Linked DNA regions of Sus scrofa. The protein of the gene in region 2 binds, or shares a complex with, the protein of the main gene of each other region. Links are inferred from orthologs where the notes say so. Each region holds a gene or a part of one and is shown on either strand. Other genes may lie near its edges. The genes, in order: histone H2A.J and SCML2.

What was found.
Region 1: the proteins of SCML2 (region 2) and histone H2A.J are in contact, whole or in part, in a crystal structure (PDB 4EDU), measured with the Homo sapiens proteins. The link is inferred for Sus scrofa from reciprocal best matches to the Homo sapiens genes SCML2 and H2AJ. Residues at the interface, in NP_006080.1 of Homo sapiens: Asp182, Asn185, Tyr187, Leu188, Cys190, Phe206, Trp209, Phe213, Pro239, Pro240, Gly241; in NP_808760.1 of Homo sapiens: Leu35, Arg36, Lys37, Gly38.

What each region holds. Positions count from the first base shown.
Region 1 is NC_010447.5:57,770,092-57,784,732, reverse strand, and holds histone H2A.J, read left to right. Parts: upstream 1-7,059; 5' UTR 7,060-7,167; coding exon 7,168-7,557; 3' UTR 7,558-7,725; downstream 7,726-14,641. UniProt on the Homo sapiens protein: Core component of nucleosome. Nucleosomes wrap and compact DNA into chromatin, limiting DNA accessibility to the cellular machineries which require DNA as a template.
Region 2 is NC_010461.5:14,815,417-14,831,641, reverse strand, and holds the start of SCML2 (sex comb on midleg-like protein 2), read left to right. Parts: upstream 1-8,625; 5' UTR 8,626-8,821; intron 8,822-9,057; exon of another isoform or gene 9,058-9,190; intron 9,191-16,225. UniProt on the Homo sapiens protein: Putative Polycomb group (PcG) protein. PcG proteins act by forming multiprotein complexes, which are required to maintain the transcriptionally repressive state of homeotic genes throughout development.

The DNA.
Region 1 (14,641 bases), on a different chromosome or scaffold from region 2:
CTTGCTTTTCAGGAATTCACAGACTAGTCAGGGAAAACACATGAAATAAAACGCTGTAGTTAGTGAAACCGACTTCCAGCAGTTTGGCAAATTACGCAATCTGAATGAACCTTCTAGCACAAGCATTGCATTATAATGGTCACAAGAAAATAAGGAGAATCTTGACATAAAAATAAAAGATAAAAGGACAGTGAAATAACAACTGAAGGTGAGAGCTCCAAGGTTGCAACAGAGATTAAGTCTTAGGTCTCCTGTAAGGTAGTGAAATAGCATAGGAGACTTTTCAGCAAGCTGAGACACCCACAGGGGGGGAAAGGGGTCATGGGTTGACAGCAGTATCCAGCCCAAAGCTGAAGCAAATGCTAATTTTCTTAACTAAGGCTCAGTTAGTTCCTCAGGACTCCCACAGATGATCTTCAACCAAATATCAGTTCAAAATATCTATTTGCCAAATATATGGAGAAACAAGTCTTCACGTGTGTCCGCAGGAAAACAAAACACTTGATGGAGACCACCATGAACGTATTGTCTTTCAGTTCATTCTGACTGCCAAATTATATTCCACCATAATTTATTCATCTAGTTTCTTGTCCATGTGTATTTGGTTTCTTTGTTTTTGCTACTGTGAGCAGTGCTGCCAAGAACTTTAGTGAAGGCGTGCCCTGTACATAAGTGCTATCTATCATTTCCCTCAGATAAATATCTGGGAGTCGAACTGCTGGTTCAGCATCAATGTGAATCTGTTTTCAAGTTCACAGGATAATGACCTTTTTTTCAAAAACAGCCGAATCACTTTATAATTCTAGCATTATTAAGAGATTTGGTACAACACTTGGTATTGCCACTTGAAAATTTTTACCAATCTAGTGGGTGAAAATTTCATTGTGGTCTTGATTTGCAACTCCCTGATGATTCATCAAACTGAACATCTCTTCCTATGCTTACTGGCTATGATTTTCTGCTGGCTTTTGCTCATCTTTCTTCTTTGGACTGGGTTTCAATTTTTATCCAACTGTGTACCTGGGCAACAGAACAAATTATTAAATACCCAACACTGGAAAGTTTCTCAACTACATTTCATGTGGAAACTACTCTGGTATTTGTTCATGCTGTGTGTCCCCTAAGCTTGGTGTGGCATTCCCTTTCTCCAGGGGGCCTTCAGCTCAGAACAAATGTCATCTGACCTTTAAAAATACCCCTAAGACATATAATTTGTTCTGTACACCAATAAACACCATTTCACTCATGCTACTCTATTAGAGCAAACCACATGTGTACAACTACACAGATATCATCCCCCCCCTTACTTGGAAAAGAGAAGTGTCTTGATGTCTTATTTATCTCTGAATCTTCAAAGATATGGCAAAAGAAGTTTAATGTTTCTTTTGTTCAAATTCAGAAGAGATGACATTTCAACAGCATTCATTCACAGTGCAAGAAAAGCCTTATAAAAGAGCTTTAAGTTGCTTATTTAACAAACTTTGTAGCAAAGGCATTTTATTAGTCAACATCTGAAAATCTCAGTCAGTTCTAATTTTAGATTATCTTGGTGTCCTCAAATCACATGACCTAGTTTTAGTTTGGAAAATGATTACTTCAGGACTAGATATGACCATGGGACTCATAGAGACAAAAACAAATTTCCCATGTTCACATAACTTGGTTCTATTTTATAAAGTACATAAAACATGAACAACAAAAAAGCTATGCTACATGGGAAAATAAAATTCTACTTGACAGGTTAAAAAAAAAAATGAGGCCACCATCAAAAATATAACAATTTTATAAAAGTAGCAATTCCAAGTAACTTAAATACTTAAAGAATAGATATTTTGAATTATCATATGAATACTTACTTCCATGCTCCACTGCACTCCTACCTGCATCTTCAGTAATCTGATTCATGCTAATTTGGGGACTTAATAAGTACATTATCTGGAGTTCCCGTCGTGGCGCAGTGGTTAGCAAATCTGACTAGGAACCATGGGGTTACGTGTTCGATCCCTGGCCTTGCTCAGTGGGTTAAGGATCCCTCGTTGCCGTGAGCTGTGGTGTAGGTTGCAGTCGCGGCTTGGATCCTGCGTTGCTGTGGCTCTGGTGTAGGCCAGCAGCTATGGCTCCAATTGGACCCCTGGCCTGGGAATCTCCATATGCCACGGGAGCGGCCCTAGAAAAGGCAAAAAGACAAAAAAAAAAGACCCAAAAAAAAAAAAAGTACATTATCTATCTACTCAAATTCACTCATTCATTCACTTAACAAATACAAAAGCACAGAAGTGTACCAGACTATGCTACTTCTTACTTATTTTTATTTTTATTTTTTGCCTTTTCTAGGGCTGCACCCGTGGCATATGGAGGTTCCTAGGCTAGGGGTCTAATCGGAGCTGTAGCTGCCGGCCTACACCAGAGCCATAGCCACTCGGGATCCAAGCAGTGTCTGCAACCTACACCACAGCTCATGGCAATACCAGATCCTTAACCCACTGAGCTAGGCCAGGGATCAAACCTGCAACCTCATGGTTCCTAGTGTGATTCGTCAACCACTAAGTCACAACAGGAACTCCTGCTACTTTTTTTTAAGTAACTCCACTTTTTGTTTTTTGTTTTTCTCACTTACATTAATGAAAGTTGAGCTTCTCAGATTATCTCACTACCCCAGAAATTTAATTAATAACAGCACCAGGGGTACACTTGAGTATGGAGGAGAAGAAAGCTCTTAGAAGTGAAACGTGAGCAAACAGAGATGGGGGCAGAGGCAGTGCACACAAGGATTAAGGTCAAAGGGTGTAGGGTCCAATAGGGCTGGGTTCAAATCTGGGCTCCAGTTCTCCCCAGTCACCCACCCCTAGATCCCTGTATCAGTTTCCTCATCTGTAAAATGGTAATTAATAATAAACTATAATAAATCTGCTGGAGAATAATGGAACCCAATGTGTTGCAAAGTGTCTGATACTCAATAAATGGTATGATGCGAGCCTCTGCTGAGGGAAATACAAGAAATGTTTCCTTGGCTAGCGTACATCTGAGATATATGTCGTTTAAAATGAGACACACGTACATCACTGTCAAAATTGGGAAACTACCCCAGAGCCACTTCAAACAACCACCTCCAAGAAACTAAGTGATTTCACCATGTCTAGACAAGTCAGAATTGGGGGAGAATAGCTAAGGTGAATGGGACCGCACTGCATTTTGGGGTCCTAGGCCCCTTCGTCATATAAACAGGTTAGGAGAGACTGGACCCTCGAAGTGACTTGGGTTCCCGCCTCCCTCCGCTGGCGGACCCTGCCGGCCCGCACGCAGATGAGGCCCCCAGTCTCCAGGCCCTGAGACGCCCCGGAATAGTGCAAACAAATGCGCCGCCCTTTGCTCAGTCTCCCGGGCAGGATCACTGGGGGGGCCTCCACGACTACACAACTCTCGTCACATTTTCACCGAACAGCTTGGGACCCAACTTGCCGCCCCTCTCCTTTCCACAGCCCCTCCAGCAATTCTGAAAAGAGCCTTGACTGGGAAGCCAAGGCTTAACTCATGGCTACGACCAGGTCACATGACTCTCTATCCAGAGCAACAACATCAGGGCCTGGATGTTGGGCAGGACGCTGCCCTGAGCCTCGGCCCCGCTGCCGGCTAACTTCTGGATTCCCATCGTCAGGGGTTCGAGCACCGCCGCCAGGTGCTCCGCGGTCGGGTTGCTCACCTGCTCGGCGCGGCTACCTTTGTGCAGCGGACCCACGGGTAGCGCAGGGGCCGCGGGCTCAGGCCCGGCCTTGGACTTCGCCCGCACTCGGCCGCCCTGCATCTGGCGTCTGAGCTCGGTTACCTCTAACTCAAAAAGTCAGCGAAAAAATAAAATAATTCAAACCCGGCCGGACCACGGCGCGCCAAACTAGGCCGGCATCTCACGCTTTCCTATTGGACATCTCAACATCTCTGGTCCCAGAGACGGGACGGGCCGCACAAGCGAGAGCCGCCCCCTCTGACGCCTTCTATCCAATCGGAGACGAAAAGTCCACTCGTCCTATTTACATACAAGCCACTCTATAATTGCTCAGGGCGGGAATCCTCCGCGGCTTAGAAGTGTCCACCGTGAAGACGTAGGTTTTGCCAGGTAGAAATGCTTCCTTCTCCCAGAGCTGTAAGTCAGCAGTCTGGTGTCTGAAACAGAGAAGAGCAAGGTCACTACTGCCCTGCGTCGCACTTCCTGGGCTATGTTCTAAGCGCAGGCCCTGGGCTCTCTGCTCGGAGCCCTACTAACACCTCCCCTCCTCCCCAAGCCCCAAGTCACCCGCCAGAGCAGCAGCTTCCACCCACAAGGCGCTTGAAGGACATGTGCGCGTTCATACACAATTTAAGCAATATCAACTAGTTTTTTGACCTTTGGGGGGCCCTAAAACGGGCCTTTTGGAGTGAGGAGATAAACTTCAAGCACCGTGCAGACGCCGAGGCCGACCAGTATGCGGCCCTGCCGTTTTAGCGCATACACCGCAACCGTTTGAGGGCTCAGTGTTAAGTCACCGCATTGCGGATCACGTTCTTCAGGGACGCTTCGAGCACTCCCCGGTTCTCTTTCCATATGAGCCCAGAGATGCCCTTGACACCACCAGGACGGGCCAGACAGCGGATAGCTGTCTTCGTAATTAATGCCTTGGATGTTATCCGTTAAGACCTTCCAGGTGGCGTATAGCGCCTCCCTTGGCTAGACCTGTACCACCTTTACTCTGGCCAGACGTCCTTCACAGCAGGATAGCCTAAATGCAAAAGCAGCAGCTAGCAGTTTAAAGTTGTAGACCAGAGCATGTGTAGCCTTATGGCGAACCTGTTTGAAAACCTCAAGAAAGTGGGAAGAGTTATGGGCCCTGGGAGATTTTTATTCCTTCTCTGCCAAATTTTCTGTTCGCTCTTTGGGGCAAGCTTTTTGTTATTTTTGTCAAGAAAATGAGGAGACTCAATAGAATATACCTTGCTTTTTCTCAGCGCTTGAATAACAGGCCAGATCCAATGCACGCTGGGTTTCCCTTCCCTCTTTCCACCACCCTGCCCGCCCCGGTGTCTCTGTCTCTGTCTCTGGTGGGTGGGCAGGAATTCTAATTCTATAGTTTTCCAAATGGAATGCCTTCTCTGATGACACCATTCCCAGATCAATGTGAAAATCAATAAGAACCACGAATGCTTTATTTCTTGTTAAATTTCAAATCTCTTGCTTTACACCTGTGGATGTTTTAAAGTCACTAGTTGGGGAGGAGGACATCTTTTAGTGGTTCTTTTTTTCTCTTTTGTGGCCCCATGGAGAAAGAATTAATATTCCTTCAAAATAGCTAACAGGTCTCATCCTATGTGCCTGCTCCCTCAGACTTTCCCCTTGCAACTTCTTCTAAGCAATTTGCAGATTTTACTACCTCTTCTGCCCCCTCCACCCCAAGTGAGTTTTTTGCTTTTCAACTGAATAACTGTTTCTATAATTAGTGGAAGTATTTTATAATGTTCTTATTAAAATTCAAGTTTCTCAAATCTCCCACTTAAAAATTCAAAAAATAATGGATACCATGATCGTGGATTTAAGTAATGCTTTATACCGCAGAACCCCAATCAGAAGTCTCTCAATACTTTTAAGACAATCCCTGAGCAAAAACGAAAACAATCTAGGAGACAGCAGTCTTCCGAAAGATTTTACTGAGATAAAAGGCATCAGTATTTGAAGGATGATTCATAACTATTTTCCAGGCACTTAATACCTCGAGCGACAAATACTTTAGTAAATTGTGCTCGCTGTCCCTACTCCTGACAAATAAGCCTTTCCAGCAGCAAAGCTTTAGGGTAAATACTTACATATAATTAAATGCTTATTATTTACCTATCCTTACCCATCTCCATAGCACAAAAGGTGCTGTTATTGTTGTTAAAGAAGGATTAACACGAGTTCCTGTGGTGGTGCAGTGGTTAACGAATCCGACTAGGAACCGTGAGGCTGAGGGTTCGATCCCTGGCCTTGCTCAGTGGGTTAAGGATCTGGCGTTGCCGTGAGCTGTGGTGAAGGTCACAGATGCGGCTCGGATCCCACGTTGCTGTGGCTGTGGTGTAGGCCAGTAGCTACAGCTCCGATTAGATCCCTAGCCTGGAACCTCCATATCCCGCGGGTGCAGCCGTAGAAAAGGCAAAAAGACACACGCACACACACACACGGGATTAACAGAACCCTCAGAACACTGGGTATCTGGGGGAAAAAAATCCTCAAAGGTTATATTGTACTACATGATTTTAATCTCTGATTTGAGGGAAGAAAAGTCTTGAAGTGTCAGGATTCTTGTAATGGTAAAATAGGTTGAGGTGCTGTTTTTTTGTTTTTAAGTATTTACTAAGACTAAGAAATCAAGGTTATGAGTTCCTGCTGTGGCAAAATGGGATTCCCGGTGTCCTGGGAGCATCGGGTAGTAGATTTGATCCCCAGCTCGCACAGCGGGTTAAGGATCCAGGTGGTGTTGCAGCTGCCGCTTAGGTGGCACGTGTAGCTGGGATCTGATCCCTGGCCAGGGAATTCCATATACCCATGGGGGGCCAAAAAAGAAATAGAAAGAAATAAATCAAGGTTAGCATATTTTTCAAGTTAAGAGATTTATCTTACTTACAAGAATAAAAAGAAAAATAGTGTTAATAATGACATTCGGTTAAAATTTTCGGGCATACCCTGCGACCTTAATTACTAGAATTTCTCCCTTGAGCATCTCGTACTTGTGGGTGGAGTAACTCTCCGTCTGCATGTTTCAAACTGTGCCTCCCTAATTCTTAAGACGTTCTTTTCCTGGGAGCCAGCCGGGACGCTGAAACCTCAGGATACAACAAATTCAGTGGAAACCCTATACGCTGAGCAGTCGGGTGCAGATTTTCAGGTGGGTGATTATGTAAATGAGGACTAGGGATTTGCTCATCTGATTGGAGAGAGCTGGAAAAGGCGGTCCTTCTGCCAGCAGAGCGCGCTAATTGGGAGCGGAGCCTGCCTGTCATTGGTCACCTAAACTGAGGATGTTGCGGCGCCCAATGGGAAGGCTCTGACTAGCGTCAGCAAAGTGTTGGTAGAGGCAGTTCCGGTGTGATACGTCGCATTTCCTTACTAGAAACCGGACCGCTGGATTTTTTTCTCCTCGCTGGAGTTTTTGGTGAGAGGTAAACATGTCCGGTCGCGGAAAGCAGGGAGGCAAAGTGCGAGCAAAGGCCAAGTCCCGCTCCTCCCGCGCGGGCCTGCAGTTCCCGGTGGGCAGAGTGCACAGACTGCTGCGCAAAGGTAACTACGCGGAGAGAGTGGGCGCCGGCGCGCCGGTGTACCTGGCGGCGGTGTTGGAGTACCTGACCGCGGAGATCCTGGAGTTGGCTGGCAATGCCGCGCGGGACAACAAGAAGACCAGGATAATCCCTCGCCACCTGCAACTCGCCATCCGCAACGACGAGGAGCTAAACAAGCTGCTGGGGAAAGTGACCATCGCTCAGGGCGGCGTCCTGCCCAACATCCAGGCCGTGCTGCTACCCAAGAAGACGGAGAGTCAGAAGACGAAGAGCAAGTGACCCTGACTCTGCTAGGGAAGCTGGCTTCCCCAGCCAAGCCTCTTCCCACAGCCGCCCCGCAGTGTTTTTGAATATGCTTAATGTTATGGAGGGCCGGCTTGGTCTAGTGGGGAGGTGGGCGGCAAAGGGCCCACCGGGGTCGGAGGCCAATAAAGTCAGTGAAAATCCTCTGGTCGATAGAGATATGTAGTCGCGGGCGCCTGCCGGATGACCCACGGGGCAACCGGGAGACCTTTGGAGGAGGTACTTGTGGGTCGGCTTGAGCCACTAACTGGGCTGCTTTGGTCCGTAGGTCACCTTCCAGGCGCTACGGGCGGATAAGGGCTATCAGAAGGGACCCACTGCCCAGGAGGTGGGCAGAGTTGGGAACTCTCCCAGCTGGCTTGAAGGCAAAGTAGGTGCGGCTGCGGCTGGGGAATTTTTAGGCCCCCTTGCCAAGGCTTTTGCTCTCCTGCCCTGTTTGGGCAGTTTAGGAACCAGTTCTGGAAAAGGAGCGGTGACAACGAGCGAACTGGCCTTGGGCAGGAAGTTGTCTCTCTGGTCATTATTTTAAAAAGGTAGAATAACTTTCTGTCTTCGAAGAGTGGTCCCAATGACACAGTGTCAACAGATTCTTCTTAGCCTGATGGTTGTGTTTTCGCCTTTCGAATAGCCGATATTTTGATGTACACGCTTATGCTCACATTTCTAGAAAATGAAGGAAACATCCAATAATATGTGTAATACAGAAGCATGAGTCATGAGGTTGGAAATGTGTTCCCCTGACACTCACATTGCATAACAGTGCAGCGCCTTTAGTCATGAGTTACATATGTTTATGAGCTTTTAAAATGATTTTCTCAAGTTTCCAGCTTCATAATGGTCTTCTCTCCATCATACTATATTTCTTTGGAAGTGTAATTGATTTGATTTTGCTTTGTAACGACAGATCGCTGGACATCCCTTATGATCTACCACTGGCCTGAAGTAATGACCCCATTCCAACCAATCCTGTAGGGATTGTGTTGCTTAATGACAGTCATGCTTTAGTAAATATGTGAGATGTGCGCAAAGGTAAGGACAAGTGATACAGATGCAGGGAGGGAAACACATTTCAGATCAGCCATCTACATTTAAAAGTTAAACACTAGCAATCCCATTCAGTTCTTGGTTGACCCTTCCTTTTCACTCTTTTCTACAAGATTCATCCTGCCCTCATGGTCCACAAAAAAGTTCCCCGTTCAGATTTCACATCTTTGGATTCATCTTTCCTGTGAGTCAGAGTTGAAGTCTTCCTGAAAAAACAAATGAAACAAAAGAGTGGGTATGTGTTCATCCTTGGCAGTGTTTGGCCAATTTTCCATATGAATTTTATTTTTTCCCCAGTATTTATTGAGCATCTCTATATGCCAAGCACAGTACTAGGTGATGAGTAATGTGGTCTAGCTGTGGCTGAGACCCAACTAGATTTCCATTCTTGAAGCTCACTTTTTTGTTTTTTTCTGGGTAACTGAAGACAGGACAATGAACAAGTAAGTTAATATCAGAAAGGATTCCCCTTCAGCTTCCATTAGCACTTGTGTCTCTGCTGCTTGTGGAGTAAATGCTGGGATCACTTCTCCCACGTGGTCATGACTGAGGTATATACAAAGGTCAGGCCACACATACCCCTGTTAGGAGGCAGATTATCACTCCCCAGTTCTTGAAGAGAATAGTCCCCCAAGGGGATATACCATGGGCAGTTTCCAAGGTATCCAGCTGTTTACTCTCCTCCTTACCTTCTGTCTAGAAGGCTTCCTCATATGTAAAGTAATATCTATAACATATCTAAAATCATATATATATATATAATCTATAATATTATATAATAATATTATTTAAAAATAATATCCATTTTGAGGACTGAGATTCTTTCATTACTACGGTCCAGATGTTGGGGGCTCAGTAAATTGAAAGTACTGTTTTCTACAGCAATATGGGCATACCCTTATAGGTAACTGTAGCTAATAGGATTTTTTGGGTTTTATTATCTATTTTTCTTTTTTTGGCTGCCCCATAGCATATGGAGGAGTTCCTAGGCCAGGGATCAATCCAAGCCACAGATGCAGCCTACTCTGGATCCTTAATCCACTGTGCATCCAGGGCAGGGGACTGAACCTGAGTCCCAGCGCTCCAGAAAAACCACCAATCCCACTGTGTCACAGTGGGAAGTCCTTTGTTTTTATTTTTAATGCTCAATTTTTTGGGATAGTTCTCAGTGTTACCATCTTGGGAGGCCTGATAGGCAGTGGAATTTTTCTTTTCTTTTCTTTCTTTCTTTCTTTTTTTTTTTTTTTTTTTGGTCTTTTTGCCATTTCTAGGACCGCTCCCGCAGCATGTGGAGGTTCCCAGGCTAGGGGTCGAATCAGAGCTGTGGCCACTGGCCTACACCAGAGCCACAGCAACATGGGATCCGAGCTGCTTCTGCAACCCACACCACAGCTCGCGGCAACGCCAGTCTTTAACCCACTGAGCAAAGTCAGGGATCGAACCTGCAGCCTCATGGTTCCTAGTCGGATTCGTTAACCACTGAGCCACTACGGGAACTCTGGCAGTGGAATTTTTTAAAAGTATATTTCAGGTACCAGTTTTGACATTTAAGTCTTAATTTCCTAAAATATTTGAGGCCTCTCAAAGATTATTACCAAAGCAGTAAAGAAATGAAGACAAAGGCCATCAAGATGTTTATAAGAAAAAAACACTTTTTTCTTTTCCCTGTAAACATTCAAAGGAGTCTAACTCTGTTACCTGAAGATAAAAACAAGCAAGACACAAAGTACAGTGGCTGCCTCCATCCTCATCTACCTAGACCAACACTGTCCCAGAGGTTGCTTAGGCTTCCCTTGCTGCAATGAGTCCCTCACCCTTTCTCTTTTTAAAGGGTTTTTAAACCTGAATATATTGGCAGTTAAAAATGCATACCCCTTGACAAAGCAATTCAGCCTATTGATCTTTGATGCACCAACAGTTCTTGCCAGTATGTGATTGTTAACGTAAAAGGCTTGTTTTTCACACACAAGATGGTATGGAAGAAGACTGAGGACAAAAATCGGTGGGACCTGAATTCAGGTCTTAGATTTCTAATCCATAGTTGGGTGTATAGACAAGTGCTTTCCTGTAGAGATAAGCCATTCAGTGTGGCAGACTGTGACTGGGCCAGGATTTGTTCTTTGTTTTTCCTGCAGGGCCAGTCTTGTCTTTGTGGCCCTGAGAACTGGTCTGTTTAGTTTTGTCTGCCTGGAATCAAAAGTTTCAGTCTGGCCCCATAGTTGGTGATGACTGGCTTACTATATGCAAACTCTTTCTGATGCTTGAAAGGTAGGTCCTGCTGTTTAAGAACTCATACTCTCTGGAATGAGACCCAGGTTCAAATCTGCTCACCTCCTTAGTAGTTGGGTGATTTTGGAAATGTTACTCAGTCTCTTTAACTCCCAGTTCCATCTGTTAACTGGGCAAAATACCTCAGTGGGTTTGGGACAGAGTCAATGAGATAATGTGAATGAAGGCACTGAGTTTCCCCTATAAAAATGTGCTCAATGAATAATAACTCTTAATGTGTGAAATTGGATTTAGAGCAAGTATCAATAATCATGGGACCTATTGAATAGGTAAACATCTGGTATTCTAGCAATTCTGTGACTTTTCTGATCACACACCATAAAACCAAGCTTAGTGGCTGTTTAACTAATTATAGGACATCCACAACTCACTCTGTAATAGAAAAGAGTCATGAATAGTGAAAGCTTATGAACCTGAGTTTGCATTTTTCTCCCTGCAGACAACCTAGTTTGGAACTAATAGCTTGTTAAGTGCACCTATGCAGATTGAAAATGGAACCTGTTCGTTCAGCAATTTATTGAGCATATATTTACATGTTACGCCTATGATTGATAACTAGTTATCAAGAGAAGTGATTATAATAAGAAAGATGATTATAATCTAGCAGGATCCGTATCAAGAAGGGAAAGATGTTTAGGATGTCAGAGTCACAGGGAAGAGGCACCTGTGTCCCTTGGCCTGGTGGGGAGAGTGGCATCTGAGATGATGGGTCTAGTGCCAGAGCTAGCCTTACATGACCATGTCCTAGGCATAGAAATGCCTGCACAGAAGCACAAGGGTCAAAAGGCAGTACCTGTGGCAGGATCCAGGGGAGGGAATCCAGGGGAAAATCTCTGGCCTGGAGATCAGAATTTGGGAGTCATGACAAAAATGGTCTGGGTGGGTAAAATCATCCAGAGGGAATATTGATCTAGAGAGATATGTGTGAGTCCACGCAGCTGACAGGGCGTGTGGGGACCTATGAGCACTCTTCTACTGTAGAGGAAGAGGGGTCACAAAGGAAATGAGAGGATGTGGCCTGAAGGACACTCGGAGAGAGTGACTTTTCACATTTGGATCACTGCCCCTCTGACACTTCCTGATTTGCATTTACTTCGATATATAACTAGAATATATATATATATATATATATATATATATATATGTATATATTTTTCTTTTTAGTGCTGCACCTGTGGCATATGGAAGTTCCCAGGCTGGGTTATGCCACAGCAACGAGGGATCCAAATCATGTCTATGACCTACCCCACAGTTCACAGCAACGCTGGATCCTTAACCCTCTTAAGCGGGGCCAGGGATTGAACCTGCATCCTCATGGATACTAGTCGGGTTCATAACCTGCTGAGCCACAGTGGGAACTCCTTAGAAAATGTTCTTTAAAAGTTATTCCATTTCCCCACACAGGAACCACTGGCAAGCAGTCTCCCTCTACCAGTGCCCTGGAATGGAGATGCCTTTTCACATTGCACAAATAGAAATTCGAGGTATACACAGTGACAGCAAAAAACACTTAAAAAAAAAAAAAAAGCCAAGAAGAATATTGGTAAAGTAACATTTAAGAATATATCTTTTGGAGTTCCTGCTGTGGTGCAGTGGGTTAAGAATCTGACTGCTGTGGCTCAGGCTGCTGTGGAGGCTCGGGTTTGATCTCCGGCCCAGTGCAGTGGGTTAAAGTATCCAACAGCCTGGTTGTGGATCAGATTCAGTCCTTGTCCTGGGAACTTCCATATACCCTGGGTGTGGCCCTAAAAAAAAAAAAAAAAAGAAAAAAATGTAGTTATCATTCCATCTATTTGAATAAATCTTTTTACGTATTTTAATTTTAATCAGCTTTTTCATTTTAAGTTTTAATTTTAAAGAAGTTATAGAAATAGGGGTAACTTACTAATTCATAAAGCCAATATCATTATTTTAGAATGATTTAGCACAAGATATTTGACCCTGACAAGTTAATTAGCTAATGTTTCAATGTTTAGAGAGAAATGGAGGTCAAAAGTAACAGAAAGAAAGAAAGAAAGAAAGGAAGCCACCGGGCTTCGGGCAGACATGAAATTATTACTGTAAAGCTTTATTTTGTTTTCTCTACAAGGAGAGGAAAGAAAGTTTCGGTGTTGAAAAACACATTTTAACCTATATCTACACCCAAAAAGAATGACAGCACATTAGGATAGCAACTGGGGTCTTTGATAATTTTATCAAGCCATGCAATTAAAAAGCCAGCACTACTTAACTCCAAATTATGGAAACAAAGGAAGGATAAGGCCTATGTTAAGCAAAATTGTCTTTCTTTTAGACAGACTAGACAAGCAAACTGCTCATGAAGATTTGTTTACTTTCTGTTTTAAAGTACTTCTCAAATGAGCTATCTTGTTCATGTTAAAAGCCCAAATGGCCACAGTAGCTCCAAAATATCACTAATGAAATTGAGTCTATTCGTGAGGCTGGTGTACAAACTACTGTTACAGTGAAAAGACATGAAAGAAGCACGTGCGTGGCCTGGAAGAGGTGAGGTTCTAGATTGTGAGGACTAGGAGAAATACAATGGTTTGTAAAGATGTGTAATTTTTGATCCTCAGGACTTGGCCAATAGCCAGTCATCACCAATTATGGGTCCAGGCGGACAAAACCAAATGGACCAATTCTCAGACACAAGGACAAGAGTGAAGAAATCTTCATTAGATTTAGAAACCATGCCCCAAAGCAAGTTGGTCCTAAGGTCACCGGTCTGAAGAGACCTATGACCTCCTCAGACTTAGCTCCCCAAAACAGACTTATCCAGCCTCTGTCTATCCTCTCCCTGTGGACTTGGCCTCTTATACATGACTCTGAGTATCAAGCAAGCTAACAAGCAGTGCAAGCTGGGAATGGAAGAACAAAAACAATTTTACTGAAGAATACTAAAGTAAAAAATAAAAATCTAAGAGATCTTATCTCCAGGGAAACAAACACAACATTGAAGTGCTACAACAAAATGTAGGAACTCAATTCCATGTGAACTTCACTCCCTAGCCCTGAGCAGGTGGCATCTCATCCAGAGGGAATCACAAGGGCTCCCAGATGTTCGCATTTGAGAGTCCTAGTCCACTTAATGAGCACTTTAGCTGAATCTGCATTTTCGTCCTGGCTTTCTAGCCAAAGACCATTAGGAACATACCTGTTATTAAGTAAGCTGGGTTTTATTGCTCTTTGTAGCAAGGAACACACATAATGGGAAGGTATGAGGTATCTCACTCAAAGTATTAGGATTTATTATAGATTTGAAGCTTGGCCTAGGATTGCGTGCTGTTGGGAATAGAGTTAAGTTTTTGACTTGGTAGCTTAATACGTCTAATGGGGTACATGGAAGGAAGCGAGGCTAAAGCTGAAACAGGTGAAGATGCTAATGCATATTGACCAGCACAGGGGACTCTTTGGTCATTTTTGTGGTTTGGACAATGCTCATGTTTTTGCCTCCTGATGTATTTTTGTTTTGATTTTTCATGGTCACAGAATGACCTCATGGGTATGGAATAGTTTATAGTCCATAGAGCCCCAAGGTGCAGCTGTATCAGGCAAACTCCCAGCAAAACCAAGGCCTGACTGAGGGTCGAGGCCAGTTTCAAGTTGTCATGGGCTGCTTTCCGCTTTCTCAGTAACTGAAGGAAAAAATCTGACATGGAGAAGGGAGCTTGCTGGGCTGTGGAAATGGATGAAAACATAAGGTGAATGTTGGCAGTGGCCAAGCACC
Region 2 (16,225 bases):
CTCATGGACCCTATGTTGGGTTCTTAACCTGCTGAGCTGCAACAGGAATTCCAAGATTAATTCTTTAATTGTCTGCCGACTGTATGAATCTCTAGCACAGGATCCGCATGTAGTAGGTTCAGTAAATACTTCCTTCCTGAATGAGGAATGAATGTGCCCACATGTCTTACAGATAGATTATAATGCCAGATGCTGGCTTCCAACCAGACTTAGAGGGGCTTACGGCTGGCTGATGGGTTTGTTTTCCACTCACTTTAGAGTTCCGTGCACCTTAAATCAGTCACTGTCCCAGAAAGGCGCAGAGAGAGCCAAAATTAACCCAGATCCCCTGTCTCCCCGTGCTTTCTCTACCACTCTCATGATAGATCCTATTCAGAGACCGTGTACCTTGCAAATCGAGGTACTGCTATAAAGCCTGTCTAGAATGTTTGAATTGTGGTTATGTCTTTCTGAATTCGAACCTTTGAATGCCTCAGTGCCCGCAGTATTGCTTTATATTCTTTCCATTGATTTGCTCATTAACTCAACATTGCTGTTGTTATTGTTCTTCATTTTTAAAAAATCCTTCCTAAATCTTGATGAGAGATTGTGTGATCCCAAAGCATTCTTAACTTACTCTGTTATTTCAAAGAGATAAATTTAAATATTTTAAAGGGTAAGCTTTTGTTTTTGAGTTTTTCTTTTCTTTTTTTTTCTTTTTGTCTTTTTAGGGCCGCACATCAGATCTGAGCCATGTCTTCGACCTACACCACAGACCACAGCAGCACCGGATCCTTAACCCACTGAGCGAGGCCAGGGATCGAAACTGCGTCCTTATGGATGCTAGTCAGATTCGTTTCTGCTGAGCCAAGATGGGAACTCCCTGGTTTTGATTTTTTTCTGATGTGTGTTTTGTGTTTTGGAAAACCAGGATTTTTCAACTAACAAATTGCAAGATTAAAATACAAAACAAAACAAGAGCAATGGAGGAGCAACCTATAGATTAAAGGGACTCCAGTAATTCCAGCTGTGGTGCAACGGGATAGGAACAGGCGGCATCTCTGGAGCTCTGGGATGCAGGTTCAAACCCCAGCCTGGCACAGTGGATTAAGGATCCGGTGTTGACACAGCTGCAGCATAGGTCCACCTGCAGCTCGGATCTGATCCCTGGCCCAGGAACTCCATACGCTGGGGGACAACCAATAAAGGAAAAAACAAAACAAAACAACAAAAAAAGACTCCCGTCATACCATCCAAACCTGTGGACCTTATTTGCATCCCCCTTTTTATTTTCTAAAGCTGTGAAAAAAAAGTATGATCTTTTATGGGGAAATTGGAAATTTGAACAGTAAGTGTATATTTGATGATATTAAGAAATTATTTCAAATTACCTAGGTCCTTGTGTTATTGTGGTAGACAGGATAATGTCTTTCCCCAAAGGTGTTCACATTCTAATTCCCCAAACCTGTGAATATGTGTTTTGTTTTGGTTTTTTTTAGCAGGTTTAGATCAGTGTTTCTCCATCTTTTTTTCTTTTTCTTTTTCTATTCAGGTATTATTGATATATAACATTATATTAGTTTCGGGTGTACAACACAATGATTCAATGTTTGTTTATATTGCAAGACGATTACCACAATAAGTCTAGTTAACTACACATCACCATACCTAATAGCTATACATTTTTTTCTTGTGATGAGGACTTTCAAGATCTCCTCTCTAAGCAACTTTCAAATATACAATATGGTATTGTTAACTATAGTCACCACGCTGTATATTACACCACAGGACTTATTATTAATTTTATAATTGGAAATTTGTACCTTTAGATCACCTTCACCCATTTCTCCCACCCCCAGCACCTCCCGCCTCTGGCAACCACCAATGTGTTCACTATATGAATTTGGTTTTTCTGATGTGTGTTTTTCAGCAAAGCTGTGTTGATTCCATATTTACACTTTCTCAATTCTTCACTTAAAAACATGCTTGTTCCAGAGTTCCCTGGTGGCTCAGCAGATTGAAAATCTGGTGGTGTCACTGCAGTGGCTCCAGTCACTGCTATGGCTGGGGTTTGATCCCAGCCCTGGGAACTTCCATATGCTGTGGGTGCAGCCAAAAAAAAAAAAAAAAAATATGTTTGCTCCTCTAGTTACCTCTTGTGAGCATAATCTCACGTGATTTGGAAGGTTTTTCTTACTTTGCCTAGATTTTAGGGTAATATTCTTAAGTATCTGCATTGGACAATTCTTGATGAACTAACAGTGGAGTTTCCTAATATGTAGCCTGTGTCAGAATCCCCTAGAGGACTTGTTAAAACTCAGATTGCTGGACCGCACCTCAGTGTTTGTGGTTCAGTGGGTTTGGGATGAGAACTGAGACTTTGGATTTCTGACAAGTTCCCTGGTAAGGCAAATGCTGCTGGTCTGGGGACCACACTTTGAGAACTGCTGACTTAAGGGATCTCAGCATTGCACATCAGCAGCTGCTGACATCATAAAATGAAAGACAACCAGGTACTGTGTGCCTCTTGATGGAAGAACGTACAACCTACTACACAGGAAGAAGGCTTGCAGGAAAAAAAAGAACTTGAATCTTACCAAGCCCTAAATTACCAATTTATAGGAAGGGGGACAAAGTAACATATTAAACCATGAGGATGCAATTAGCAAAATCCTGACTGTGGGAAATGAGGATTCTTCAACTAACAGAGCGCAAGGAAAAAAGAGAGAGAGAGAGAGCAATAGAGGAGAAACCTATAGATTAAAAGAGGCTCCAAAGCCAAAGTTTTATCGCCTAATCTTGTGGACCTTATCTGTATCTTTTTTTTATGCTGTAAAAAAATATTTTATAGACAATTGGAAATTTGAACAGAGAGTGGATATTAAGAAACAATTTCTAATTACTTAGGGCATGGTGTTATTGAAAGAGACAGGATAATGTCTTTCCCCAAAGATGTCCACATCCTAATTCCTGGAACCTGTGAATGTGTGGCAAAAGGGACTTTGCAGATGTGATTAAGCTAATGATCATATATGGGGAAATTATATTGGATTATTTGGCATGCTCAATGTAATCACAGGGTCCTTACGAGGGAAAGAGGCAGGGCAGGAGAGTCGGAGTCAGAGATGTGACACTGGAAACAAAGGTCAGAGAGAGAGAGAGAGAGAGATTTGAAGATGTTATACTGCTGGCTTTGAAGGTGGAAGAAACAGCTATAAACCAAAGAATGCAGGTGGTGTCTGGAGGCTGGAAAAGGCAAGGAAATTGATTATCCTCTAAATTCTCCAAAAAGAACACAGCCCTGCCTACTCATTTTGAACTTCAGACCTCCAGAACTGTAAGATAATATACTTCTGTTGTTTTAAGGGGCTAAATTTGCGGTAATTTTTTTTTTTGGCCTTTTTTAGGGCCATAATCATGGCATATGGAGGTTCCCAGGCTAGGGATCGAATCAAAGCTGTAGCCTCTGGCCTACACCACAGCCACAGCAATGCCAGATCTGAGCCGCGTCTGCGACCTACACTGCAGCTCACAGCAATGCTGGAGCCTTAATCCACTGAGCGAGGCCAGGGATCAACCTGCGTCCTCATGGATACTAGTCAGATTCATTTCCACTGAGCCACAACAGGGACTCCTGTGGTAATTTATTATGGCAGCAATGGAACACTGATACAGTTATGTTCTAAAAAGAGTCATCTTTAAGAGATACATAATAAAATGTTTATAAGATAAATAATATGATGTCTATCTAGGCTTTGTTTCAAAATAATAGAGGATGGGGGAGATTGGAGAGGGGTGTGAATGAGGCATGATTGGCCATAATCTTTGGGGCTGAGCGATGGGTGCATAGGGCCGATTACACTGTTCTACTTTTGTATATTTAAAAAATTAAACATGTACACATACGAGAAAAAAAATTAATTCTTTTTTTTTTTTTTTTTTTTTTTTTTGTCTTTTGTCTTTTTGTCTTTTGCTGTTGTTGTTGATATTTCTTGGGCCGCTCCCGCGGCATATGGAGGTTCCCAGGCTAGGGGCTGAATCGGAGCTGTAGCCACCGGCCTACGCCAGAGGCACAGCAACGCAGGATCCGAGCCTCGTCCGCAACCTACACCACAGCTCACAGCAATGCCGGATCCTTAACCCACTGAGCAAGGGCAGGGACCGAACCCACAACCTCATGGTTCCTAGTCGGATTCGTTAACCACTGCACCACGACGGGAACTCCAAAAAATTAATTCTAAGTGGTATGACCTAAAAGACTTCCAGAGACCTAGTTTGGTGAGATCCAAGCTGGACTTACCTAGGGATGGTAACATAGAGTAAAAGTCTTATCAGGATGGGAAGTGAGAGGGGCCATTCATCAAGCTGGGGCTGGACAGGAGGCTGGCCCAGGAAAGACAGAGGCTGAAAGGGAAATTAGAGGTGGGAGCCCCAGGAAAGTGGAAGAGTTAAATTCCCAGACGGCCATATGCATAAAAGAACAGAAATGGCAATGAACTGAACCAGTCAAGGAACAAAGGACATTCCATGCTTCACAGGGGGAAAAAATGATATGTGCTGTCTCTTAGGCTTCCAGTCACCTTGGCCTTTGCAGGTAGGCAGATGACCCCTCTGTCCTCCACCATCCCACTTCTCTTGAACCCAGACTCTCCCAATTCTATTCTTCCTTTTGTCAGACACCATTGCCTGCTTTTCCATTATTGCCTCTGTTAGTTTTCCTTTGTATCTTTCCAAGCAAATTCTCTTGGTTGTATGTTTTGTTTTTTGCTTGTTTGTTTTTGGCAAGGCAGAAGTAAATAGCAAACAAAACTCTACTGCCCAAAGCTATGGACACATGGAATGCAAAGGGCCTCTAAATGCTTGTCTTCGAACCTCTGTATTTAGACAGATGACCTCAAATGGAAGCAGGGTCAATAGTTCATCTACACAGTACCCCACACAGGTATAAAAGTGAAACCCGCCCTTGACTTTGAATAAAACAAAGCTTTCATTATCAAGATAACTACGTTTTATAGAGTTCCCTGGAGTTCAGTGGGTTAAGGATCCAGCGTTGTCACTGATGAGGCTTTGGTCACTGCTGTGGCATGGTTTGATTCCTGACCCAGGAACTTCCAGATGCCGCAGATATGGCAAAAAAAAAAAAAAAAAAAATACACAAATGTTTTTAAAAAGAGAATGAAGGTTTAATATAATTGGAGGCCAAACTACTGCCTTTATTAAAGAGAATTCATCATAAGAAGGAGGAAAAAATAATTGGAGGAGTTGCCACTGTGGTGTAGTGTGTTAATGATCCAGCTTGTCTCTCTGGAGGTGCAGGATCGATTCCTGTGTGGCTTGATGCAGTGGATTAAGGATTCAGCGTTGCCACAGCTGTGGTGTAGATTGCAGCTCTGGCTCAGACTGGATCCCTAGCCTGGGGACTTCCATATGCTGTGGGGGGGATGAGGCCAAAAAAGAAAAAAGAAAGAGAAAACAATTGGAAAACAAATTACAGTAGCTTTATTCAAAAAGAACAGCTTGTGGGAAAGAAGGGGACAGCGCAGCTGTCTGCAATGCTTGCTAAAAATGCGGGTGATGCTTCAACAATAGGGATGAATCTTGGGACAAAATGTTTAGTGAAAAAAGCCAGGCATAAAAGGGGACATGCTGTATAAGCTCATTGATAAGATATCCAAGAACAGGCAAAACTGATCTACAAGGTAGAAGTCAGAATAATGGCTACTTGGAGGTGGGGAAGTGTGTATTCCTGACCGGGGAGAGTCATAAGATTTTCTGGGGTGTTGGAAATGTCTATCCATGGATGCCTGCATGAGCACATCAGCACATACACATGCAAAACGACTGAGCTGTACATTTATGATATGCGTGATTTACTGCATGTAAATAAAAGCCCAGTTGAGGGAGTTCCCATTGTGGCTCAGCGGTAATGAACCCAGCTAGTAACCACGAGGATGTGGCTTTGATCCCTGGCCTTGTTCAGTGGATTAAGGATCTGGTATTATCATGAGCTGTGGTGTAGGCCACAGATGTGGCTTGGATCTGGTGTTGCTGTGGCTCTGGCATAGGCTGGCAACTACAGCTCCAAATTGATCCCTAGCCTGGGAACCTGCAAATGCCGTGGGTGCGACCCTAAAAAAAAAGGCTAAATACATACGTACATAAATAAATAAAAATAAATAAAGCTCAATTGAAAAAAGAACATAAAGGGTGAGACTACACTTGTTCAGGTGGCCTTGTGAAGTGGTCGATCCAGCCAGCTCCCTTGTATGCTCTGGTCCTCAACCCCCTCCCAGTGACCATCGAAGTCTAACTGCTTTGACTATTGCCAGCCTCTGCCCAAGCTCTCCGGGGCTGCTACTGGACGACCAGGGGCCTCCTGCCAGCATGCTCCTGTCTTGACTGCTCTCACTGAGTTCAGGCTTCTATTAGGATCGGGGAGCAGAGCCCTTGGTGCTGTAGCAGCAGCTAGAGGGGTTCCAGGGATCTGCAACTCTCTTTCTAGAACTACCCTGCTATATAACCTTCAATAGCTCCCCATCATGCTCTGAATAAGGTTCCAGCACCTTAGCATGGCACTCAAGTCCTCTAAATTGACTCCTTGTTTTGTTCAGCCCAATGAACCTTTTGAACCTTCCACTATTCAAAGACCATGCAATGACTCTTCATTACTTTGCACATATGCTCTTGTTTGTTTGGCAAACTCTGCATTTTTTCCCCTCTCAGTTCAAATGTTACCTCTCTTACCCTCTTAAGAAATAGCCTTTGGGAAACTAGTAATTATGGAGTGTTTACTATCAGTTAACAGTTGGTATTTAGGGGCTTTTCACACATTGTCTTCTTTAACCTCCACTCTAAGAAAATACCTCTAAGTTGATTTTATCCATAGTATTATAGTGACTTGTTTACATATAACAGACTGTGAAATCCTTAGGTGCTATAGACACAGTGCCTCAGATCTATAAATTCTCAAAGGGTTACAGAAATATTTGAAACACTTAACCTCTTAATTGCTTGGCTTGAAATAAAGAGAAAAAGACCCTTTCAATAATGGTCCAAGCAGAAGGAATAGAAGATACAGTTATATAAGATTTTTGAAGAGTACTGAACGAATTATTCACAGAGGTGTGGGTTGGTTTAGGGGAACTAATAAGGGATTCTGAGGTTGCCCAGGGATTAGTAAAAACTGGAAGCTGGAAGCTGTACCTGCTCCTCCTGGTTCCTGAAGACCCAGTGAGAACCAGTCTCGAAGGAGGAGCTCCTGCCAGAAGCTATCACAGTGAAGCCACTATCACTTCCAGACTGAGGAATTTCATGGGAATTATGGTAAAGAGTTTCCATGACATAATTTCGTATAATAATTTCATGGGAAATATTGTAAAATATTATGAAATAAAAATTTCATAATATAATTTCATGGGGAATATGGTAAAGAATTATAGGAAGTAAATGAGGCATCCCTGAGACAGGCAATTTACAATCAGAGCAGTATGTCTACAATTTAATAAAGGTTCCATATATGTAAAAGAGGCATAAATAACTTAAATCTTTCATAGAATGTAGAGATGAGTTTCAAATATTTCCATTGCATCAGGATTAGAAAGACAATAGCCAGTAATTCAACATTTGTGTTTCACCTCCCAGTCCTGCCATATCCCATACTAAGGGTTTGCTAATATTAAACCTGTTTCTTTTTGTTAAAGATAACTTTCTGGCTTTTAAAGACATTTTTGAAACGTCATCTTAGACCATTTCAATATTCCCTATGTGATATATATTACACAACTGATCCAAATCTCGCTTTAATATTTGCATATCAATGGCCTAGTTTTTCTATTTTTGCCTTCAAGTTTTCTTGAATTGTCAGTTAACAGTTATTTATTCATTTTTAAATGATGCAAGAACAATCAGAGCAATCTGATCTTGTGTGATTCACTAGTGCTTAAACAGAATAAAAAATACTTTAATTCGGCCCTTGTTTAACATTGCTAAAGTTGTGTTGTATGAAAACAATTTCATTTTGCTTTGCGGAAAATGGATATATTCCGCCGGTGCTTTTTCTTTTAAATTTTAGGCTCCAATTTCCGAATTATGGTTAAAAAAAATACTCATGCCCTATATACTAAGTTAAGCAGATCACGGGTGCAAAACCTCCATCCAACTTTTGAAAAGAGCTGTAGAGAGAGAAGGCCTGTCATTGGTTTACTTTTGGCTAACACAGCACATCGTATTATTTTTCAAACAAAAGCTTCATATCTGCCTATACCCAATCTGACAACAAGGAATGGGATGCTTTTCTCTAGTTTTCTGTTTGCTATGTTTTGTGCGGAGAGATTCATTTTGGAGCTATTTTTGCACCCGCCTCTTCCCCCTGGAGTGACCTCCACCTGCGCAACCTCTTCGTCCGGAGCGGGGGTGGGAGGAGACCCCAAAACGCAGACGACCGCGAGCACCCTCAAGCTTGTGAGCAAATTATTTTACTCTCCAGGTTTAGGCTAGTTCCCGTTAGCTCAAGCCTGGGTTTAGAGGAAGTACTAAATCCAGAATGTGGAGCTGTAGGAGAATGCGTGGCAAAACTCATGGGGAAAAAAAAAAGAAAAGAAAAAAAAGCTGTTTCAAGAACTGTGCTGCAACCCGCGAAGGAGTGGCTTTGCTCAAGCTGCTCTAACGAGCTGCTCTTTCCTTGCTCATCGAACTTGAGTTCCTAGGGAAGCGCCTGCCTTTTCGGTGCGCCAGGATGGGCGGTGGTCTAGAATCGAAGGCGATGGCCAAGGGAAGCGAGCTCCCCTCGGATGAAACTTGAAGCGGACCCTGGGGTTCCAGTTAAGGCCCACCAAGGTCTTAGGTGCATGGGCTGCGACTGGTTTTTTTTTTTTCTTTTTTGGCGGGAGGGCAGATGGGGCGGGGGGAGGATGAGGGAAAACTCCCTAGGGTTTTCCCGGGCTCGCGGAGTCTCATCGCCCACCACAGCTCGCGCGGGCTTCCGGCTGGGCTGCGGGCTCGGGCCCCGCACGCGGCTGCGGTCAAAGGGCGCGCTGGCTGCAACCGCAGGGCACGCGGGCAGCGGGGCGGGGGCGGGGCGGCGGTGGCGGTTGCGGGGCATGCGCGGCTCCGCGCGCGGCTTCTCAAACATGGCGGCGGCGGTGTGAAGATCGGTACCGGCTCGCGGGACCAGTGTAACAGAATTTCGCTCTTTTCGCTGAAGAGACTCGAGGTGCGTGGCGACTCCGGGCCCCGTGAAGACCAGAGCGGCGGGGCTGTGGCGTCCCGGCTCTGGCCGTTGTCCGCGGGCGGGCGGGAGTCCTCGGTGGCCAGTCCCGCGCGAGGAACGCCCCCTCACCGTCCCGCGGGGTCCGGCCCCAGCTCGGCCGCGCACTCTGGTCACCCACTCCCGGCGGCCTCACCCCCGAGGCCAGGGCTCCCTTGCCCCTCGGCGGCCTCACCCCCGAGGCCGGGGTTCCCCTGCCCCACGTAGTGCTCTTCGCGACGCCCCTCAGCCGCTCTCGCGACGCCCCTCACACTCGCCCCAGGCCCGGTCGCTGGGCACCGGCCCATCCCGCCGGCGACGTTCGGGCGCCGAGCCACTCTCCTCTAACCATCCCCTGGCGTGAAGCGCAGACAGTACCCTCCGGAGCATCCTCCGGCCGTGGGGACAGCGCGGGTGGGCGGCGGGGCTGAGTAGGGATGACTTTGCCTGGTTTGGGCTGAAATTCGCCCGGCAGCCTTCCGGGGACTTGTGAGGTAACTTTTGGAGTTTGGGAGGGAAACGTCAGTCTAGAAGGATGCGCTTCTGGCTGAGCTCGAGCTCGGCTCCGGGTGCCAGGTGTTTGTCGGACTCGCGCCCCGGGGCTCTAGGCGGTTGGGCAGGGGGCAGCGCCGGTGGCTCGCCCTCGGGGGGTGAAGCGGCGCGCGGGGGCGGGGGGCGGCGGCAGGTCCTGGGGATTGGGGCCGGAGAGCGGGGCTCCAGCTCTCCCCGGGAGCGGCGAGGCGGCCGGGGTGCTCTCCGGGCAGGACTGGGTCCCAAGACCTCTCCTCCCTTTATTTCGAGATAGCGTTCTCGCTTTTTCTACCTGGATAGTGGTTGTGCTACATCCTAGTGTGAATCGCCAGGGGGAGAACGAGTAAGCGAATTGAATAGATTTTGCGCGTTGAGATGATACGTAGCTTTGAGGGCTGAGCTGAAATTCGCGCCGCCCCACCCCCGCCCCCAGTGTTGGGGCAGCACAGGTAATTAGTTACAAGTTCCCGTTTAAGATTGTTGGTTTTTTTTTTTTTTAAAGGTTGTAATGCACATGTCATTGATTATAAAGTGTGATTACAGTTTGGAACTGGCTTCTACTTTGAAGAATTAGAAGATTAGCATTTATGACTTACCTGTAAGGGTGACTTTAGGACAGACTTCTCTAAAAGTGTTTGGATTTGTTAGTAGGGGGAAACTGAGGCAGCGAAAGTGAGTATTTACTTATGATCATATGATTTACGAAATTATTGGATATGGTTATCTTTTTGAAAATAACTGCAGATGCTGCTGCATTTTTAGTGCTCACAGAGCTATTCATATTTCTGTTTGGGGGTAAGAGTGTTATAAGATGTATTATATTTATGGAGTACAACTTCCTGTGACAAGCAGTTTAATTATAACAATAGTTCATAGACTGATACTTAGTTTTTTTTTTTCAATAATGGTACTTGAGAATGTTCTTCAATAATGACAGTTTTGCTGCTCTTGACATTCGTTTTTCTAATTATTCATTAAATAATGTATTTCCAGGGATGAATGTTCTTTCACCATGTTTGTGGGTTTGTATATTTAATATGAGCAATGTGAAAACAGCTTTTGGAAATGAGTGCAATGGGGATTTTGAAAAAGGAGATGAGCCCTCGATGCCTTGTGTTTGGCTCTTTCTTTATCCATATTCTTCAAAAGAGTCGGAAAGAATTTTTTCAAGAAATTAGTGAAACACCACTTAAAATGGCTTTGACATATCTGAGTAAACTTCATATATATGTTATGTAACCTTATAAGCTTCTAAGGGTGTATACCTGTTTCCCCGAGATAACCTGATTTCTTTTGAAATTGATAGTTTGGGGGGAAAAAGATTAATATAACTGAACTACATTATTTATGTGTGAGGATGCTTTAAAGTTAATGATGTCCTGTGTACAAAAAACCTTGGAGTCATTCTTAAAGAGGTGGTTTTTCTTCTGAGGCACTTGGTCGGTCCTTTGGATTTATGCTTCAGTCAACACATTTTTATTCAGTACCTGTGCTCATGGAAGTTCAGTTGAACCTACTGCTATCTGTGCTGGTTTCTGGGACTTTAAGACTTCCCATCAGTGGTTTATTCCTGAAAATTTCAAGGTTATAGCTAAGAAAATTTATATGAATGTAGAACAGGTAGTCCTTTTATTTCAGTGACAAATTCAGGGAGTCAATTTTGGTCATAATTCTCTAAACAAAGCTTGGATGTAACTGTGAATTACTTGTGACTTGTGTGATATTAACTTTGTGTGTTTTTTGTTATGATTATATAAAGCTATATGTTTTTATGAGAGATTATTTTTGGCTCAGATAACATGCTGGTTAGGCTTGAGGGGAAAAGGATAATTACTGGTATAAATTGAAATCAGTCTGTGCTCTGGAGAGTGGATGTTTTTTAATGCTAAGTAACTTCTGTGACTGAGTAGTTCATGTTATAACTAGCTATTAATTGATCATTTCAAGTGCTTTCTTTTTAAAAAATGTTTCAGAAATCTCTCTGAACTTAAAAATAACAAATAAGGCTTATAATGGTCAGCTATAAGCCAGATGTAACTCTCATTTTCTTGTGGGTTTGTTCCTTTTTAGCTGCTTGCCTGTTCCTCCCAGATGCTTCCTATCACCCCTCTTCCTGCCCCTGTTCCTTTTGCTGTTGGTGTCTGTTTCCGCATCAGTGAAATAGTCAGGGTAATCCTGCACTGCCTCACTGAGAAATAATTGATGATAGTAAAGTGTCTTGAAAAGGCTGAGTAATTGCCAGATTTTTTTGAATGAAAATGATGTAGTCCTTTGTTCCATTTAAGGAAGATCTTAATCTCAATTTTAGCTTAAGCTCTTGCAGGTTGGAAAGAGGAATGGAGGAGGATAACTTCACTTGAGTATTTGTTTGGGCTAATAGAAATGAGTGTTGGAATTTTAGTAACTGGATCACTGGAGGACGCAAAGGATCCTCTGCTATGGGAGTTATTAGTCACCTCTAGCTCTTTTTTGCCAGGTTAGTCTGCTGCTTTTTTTCCACCTTTATGCCCGCTCTACTCTCATTCCAATTGTGAATGGAAATCTGAGGTCATTTTCTTTATTAGCTTACCTCCCTGAGAGTCTCATTGTCTCCTCATAGTAATATTCCTGGTTTTTTAGAATATATGACATGAACAAAGCCAGCTCTGCCAGCCATCAGCATTAGAGCTGTGAGGCTATGGTATGAATATTGGTCTGGCATTGCTCAGGTGTTTTGTAGTTTGGAGTGAGCAAGTATCTTTAAGAATTTAAGGAATATTGTTAATTTGAAGTGATTTTGTTGATTTCAGGAACCAAAAGCATGGCAATTTTGAAAATGGCAAATGTTGGTCATTTTGAAAGAAAACCTCTTCCTTGATTTGGGATCTTAATCGTTATGATCTTTCTGTCTTGGGGAAATAAATGAGAGAAACCATTGCTGTTTATCTCAGCTTGAAATAGGTTGGTATAATTTAGTGGTGAGTTTTCCAGGCTCTAACTAGTTTGGGCTTTGGTTACTCTAAGCATAGAAATGCCTTTACTGTAGTGATACCATCTTATTTTTTAAGAGATAGCAGAGGTGGCCATTCTAAAAGTAGGATAATTTCAGAAAACTTCAGAAACAAACCATAAAAGATTTGAAATACGCATATGTTGTTTGGTGTTAATGAGTAAGGCATTTTTTGCATATTTTGTCTTTATATTGTCTAATGTAAGTAAACTGTGGCCACCTTAGAGATAATAATACTAGTGATTTTTATGCTGAGTGATTTCTACTAAGCGTATATCCCTAAACCTTTCTCTTACTATCACATTTGCGTCATGTGATGGAAAGGTTTTAACGTAAGAAATGAGAATATCTTATTGTGTGAACAGTGAAGGATTTGAGGCTCCTATAAGAGTTTATATGATGGTGCTTTTCAACTTAATTTCGTATTCATCTCACCTAGACTAGATGAATTCCATGTTTAACCTAAAAGTTAAAAAGAAAAAAAAAGAAGAATAAGCATTGTTTGAGTAAAGAGCTGGGAAACATTGGAAGGTACAGAGAGCATTTGACTACTTACTACTTGTGACCTGTGTTTATGGCTGTGGCTCTGCCCCTTCCTACGTTTATAGGAGCAAATTGTTGTAAGAGCGGAAAGAGTGCCCACCTTTTGTGGTTACATTGTAAACTTCAGAAGGGACAGATACATTGCAATTCTGGGGCATATCTTGAGGATGCTTTCTGTTCTCAGGGAAAAGTTGGTGGGACCCTTCTGTTTGCTTCTTGTCTTTAGAATACATATTTGATTTTTTCTTGGCTTCTGTTTCTCATAAGGATTAACTGGTGCTGAATTCCAGACAAACAGCTCTGTACCTGTAGCACAAATTTCTTTTAGTTTTAAATTAAGCAGTGAGTGAATCACATGTGTTTCTTCAGTTCTCTTGTCCTTGCCCCTCTGAATACAGTTGTAAACTTGTGCCCTTAGCTGTGAAACTGCCTTTTTTTTTTTCTTTTAGAAGATTTTCAGTATTATTTGGAGTATTAATTTAGTAGAGTTTGATAACTCTGTTATTAAAAGAATTTAAGTTAGAACTCAGTAGTGCTGAATACATTTACATATTGCTTGGTTTTAGATTAGGAAGTCTGATTTGAGATTTTTTTTGTGTCGAGATTTTTGAGAGGTTATAGAAATGTTTAAATGGGTCATTTACTGACACCTGCCTCATGTTTGAAGTATTGTCAGGGATGTTTAGTTTTCTGGTCACTTCAGATTGTAGTTTATTGCATGCTTTTCTGTAATCTGTTGTCTAGCAGGGATTGTTGTTGTCATCATTTCCATTATTTCTTGTAGGGCCAGTGTTAGAAACCATAAATCTAGACTGCTGTGATAATAGGAACAGGCTGTAACCTGACCCAGTTCTTTTGTCAAAATGTCGCACTGAGAGCTGCCTGTAGTAAATTGACATGCCCTGCTATTAACTTCAGTCCTCTGCAAATGTCAGTGGGCAGCAGGTCTTTGGGCAATTAGCCTGTGGCTGTGCTTTAAAAACCTTAGGAATTTACAACTATAAACTGAGATTTTGGTAACCCTTGACTTGTCTTTCATTTATCTGTTTTCTGATATGATGTACTTCTTAACCAAATGCATAGCATTCATATAAATTGTTTTAAGATTGTAAGAGATTAATTATTTTACCGTGAGATTATAATTTTTTTCCCCATCTTTTTAGAGCTACGCCTGCAGCATATGGAGGTTCCAGGCTAGGGGTCCAATTGGAGCTGTAGCTGCCGGCCTACACCACAGCCACAGCAACGCCAGATCTGAGCAGAGTCTGTGACCCACACCACAGCTCGTGGCAGTGCTGGATCCTTAACCTTCTGAGCAAGGCCAGGGATCGAACCTGCGTCCTCATGGATGCTAGTCAGGTTCATTTCCGCTGAGCCATGACAGGAACTCCAGTGACTATAATTTTTTATTTTTTTTATTTTATTTTTTTTGTCTTTTTGCTATTTCTTTGGGCCGCTCCCACGGCATATGGAGGTTCCCAGGCTAGGGGTTGAATCGGAGCCGTAGCCACTGGCCTACACCAGAGCCATAGCAACACGGGATCCGAGCCGCGTCTGCAACCTACACCACAGCTCACGGCACCGCCGGATCGTTAACCCACTGAGCAAGGGCAGGGACCGAACCTGCAACCTCATGGTTCCTAGTCGGATTCGTTAACCACTGCGCCACGACGGGAACTCCTAATTTTTTAGATAAATTAAAAATTTTTGAAAATCATTGTTTCCTTTTTTGGGTTTGCTCTGATGCAAAAAAAAATTTAACTTCTAATTTGTTGGAGATAGAGACTTTACTAAAGCATAATTAAAATTACCCCTCCAGAAGGCTTGATTTGATAAATCCTCACTACTAAAAAGTGTTCATTCTGGAGTTTCTGCTGTGGCACAGCAGAAGTGAATCCAACTAGTACCCATGAGGATGTGGGTTCAATCCCTGACCTCACTCAGTGGGTTAAGGATCCAGCATTGCTGCGAGCTGTGCTGTAGGTTGCAGACGAGGCCAGGATCCCACCTTGCTGTGGCTGTGGCATAGGCTGGGAGCTGTAGCTCCAATTTGACCCCTAGCCTGATAACTTCCATATGCTGCGGGACGCCCTAAAAGAGCAAAACAAAAAAAGTTCTTTTTTTTTTTTTTTTTTTTTTTTTTGGCTTCCCGACGCATGGGAGGTTCTGTGGCCAGGAATCAAACCCACGCCACAGCAGTGACACCACTGGATCCCTAACCCACTGAGTCACCAGGGAACTCTAAAATGTTCATTCTTTTTTTTTTTTTAAATTAGAGTATAGTTGATTTACAATGTTGTGCCAATTTCTGCTCTACAGCACAGTGACTGAGTCATACATATATATAACATCTTTTTTATGTAATTAAATTTAATTAATTAGTTTATTCCTGGAGCTCCTGGGCAAGGGATCAGACCTGAACAGCGGTTGTGACTTAGGCTGCCAGATCCTAATGCACTGTGTTGGGCCAGTTCCACTTGTGTTCCAGTACTCCAGAGCATTGATCCCGTTTGCCACATCGGGAATTCCTGCATTTTTAAAAAATATTATTTTCCATCATGGTCTATCCCAGGAGATTGGTTATAGTAATACAACCTTGTTGTTTACAAAATGTTTGTTCATTCTTAATATTGATTATTCACAATTCAACAATGAGTATTTATGCTGTGAGCCACATGGGAAATCCTATTATTCACAACTCAGATTTAATTTAATTTTTTTTTTTTTTTTGTCTTTTGAGGGCTGCACTCGAGGCATATGGAAGTTCCCAGGCTAGGGATCTAGTCGGAGCTGTAGCAGCTGGCCTATACCACAGCTCACAGCAGTGCCGGGTCCTTAATCCACTGGATGAGGCCAGGGATTGAACCTGCCTCCTCATGGATGCTAGTTGGGTTCGTTAACCGCTGAGCCATGACAGGAACTCCCCAAGATTTTATTTT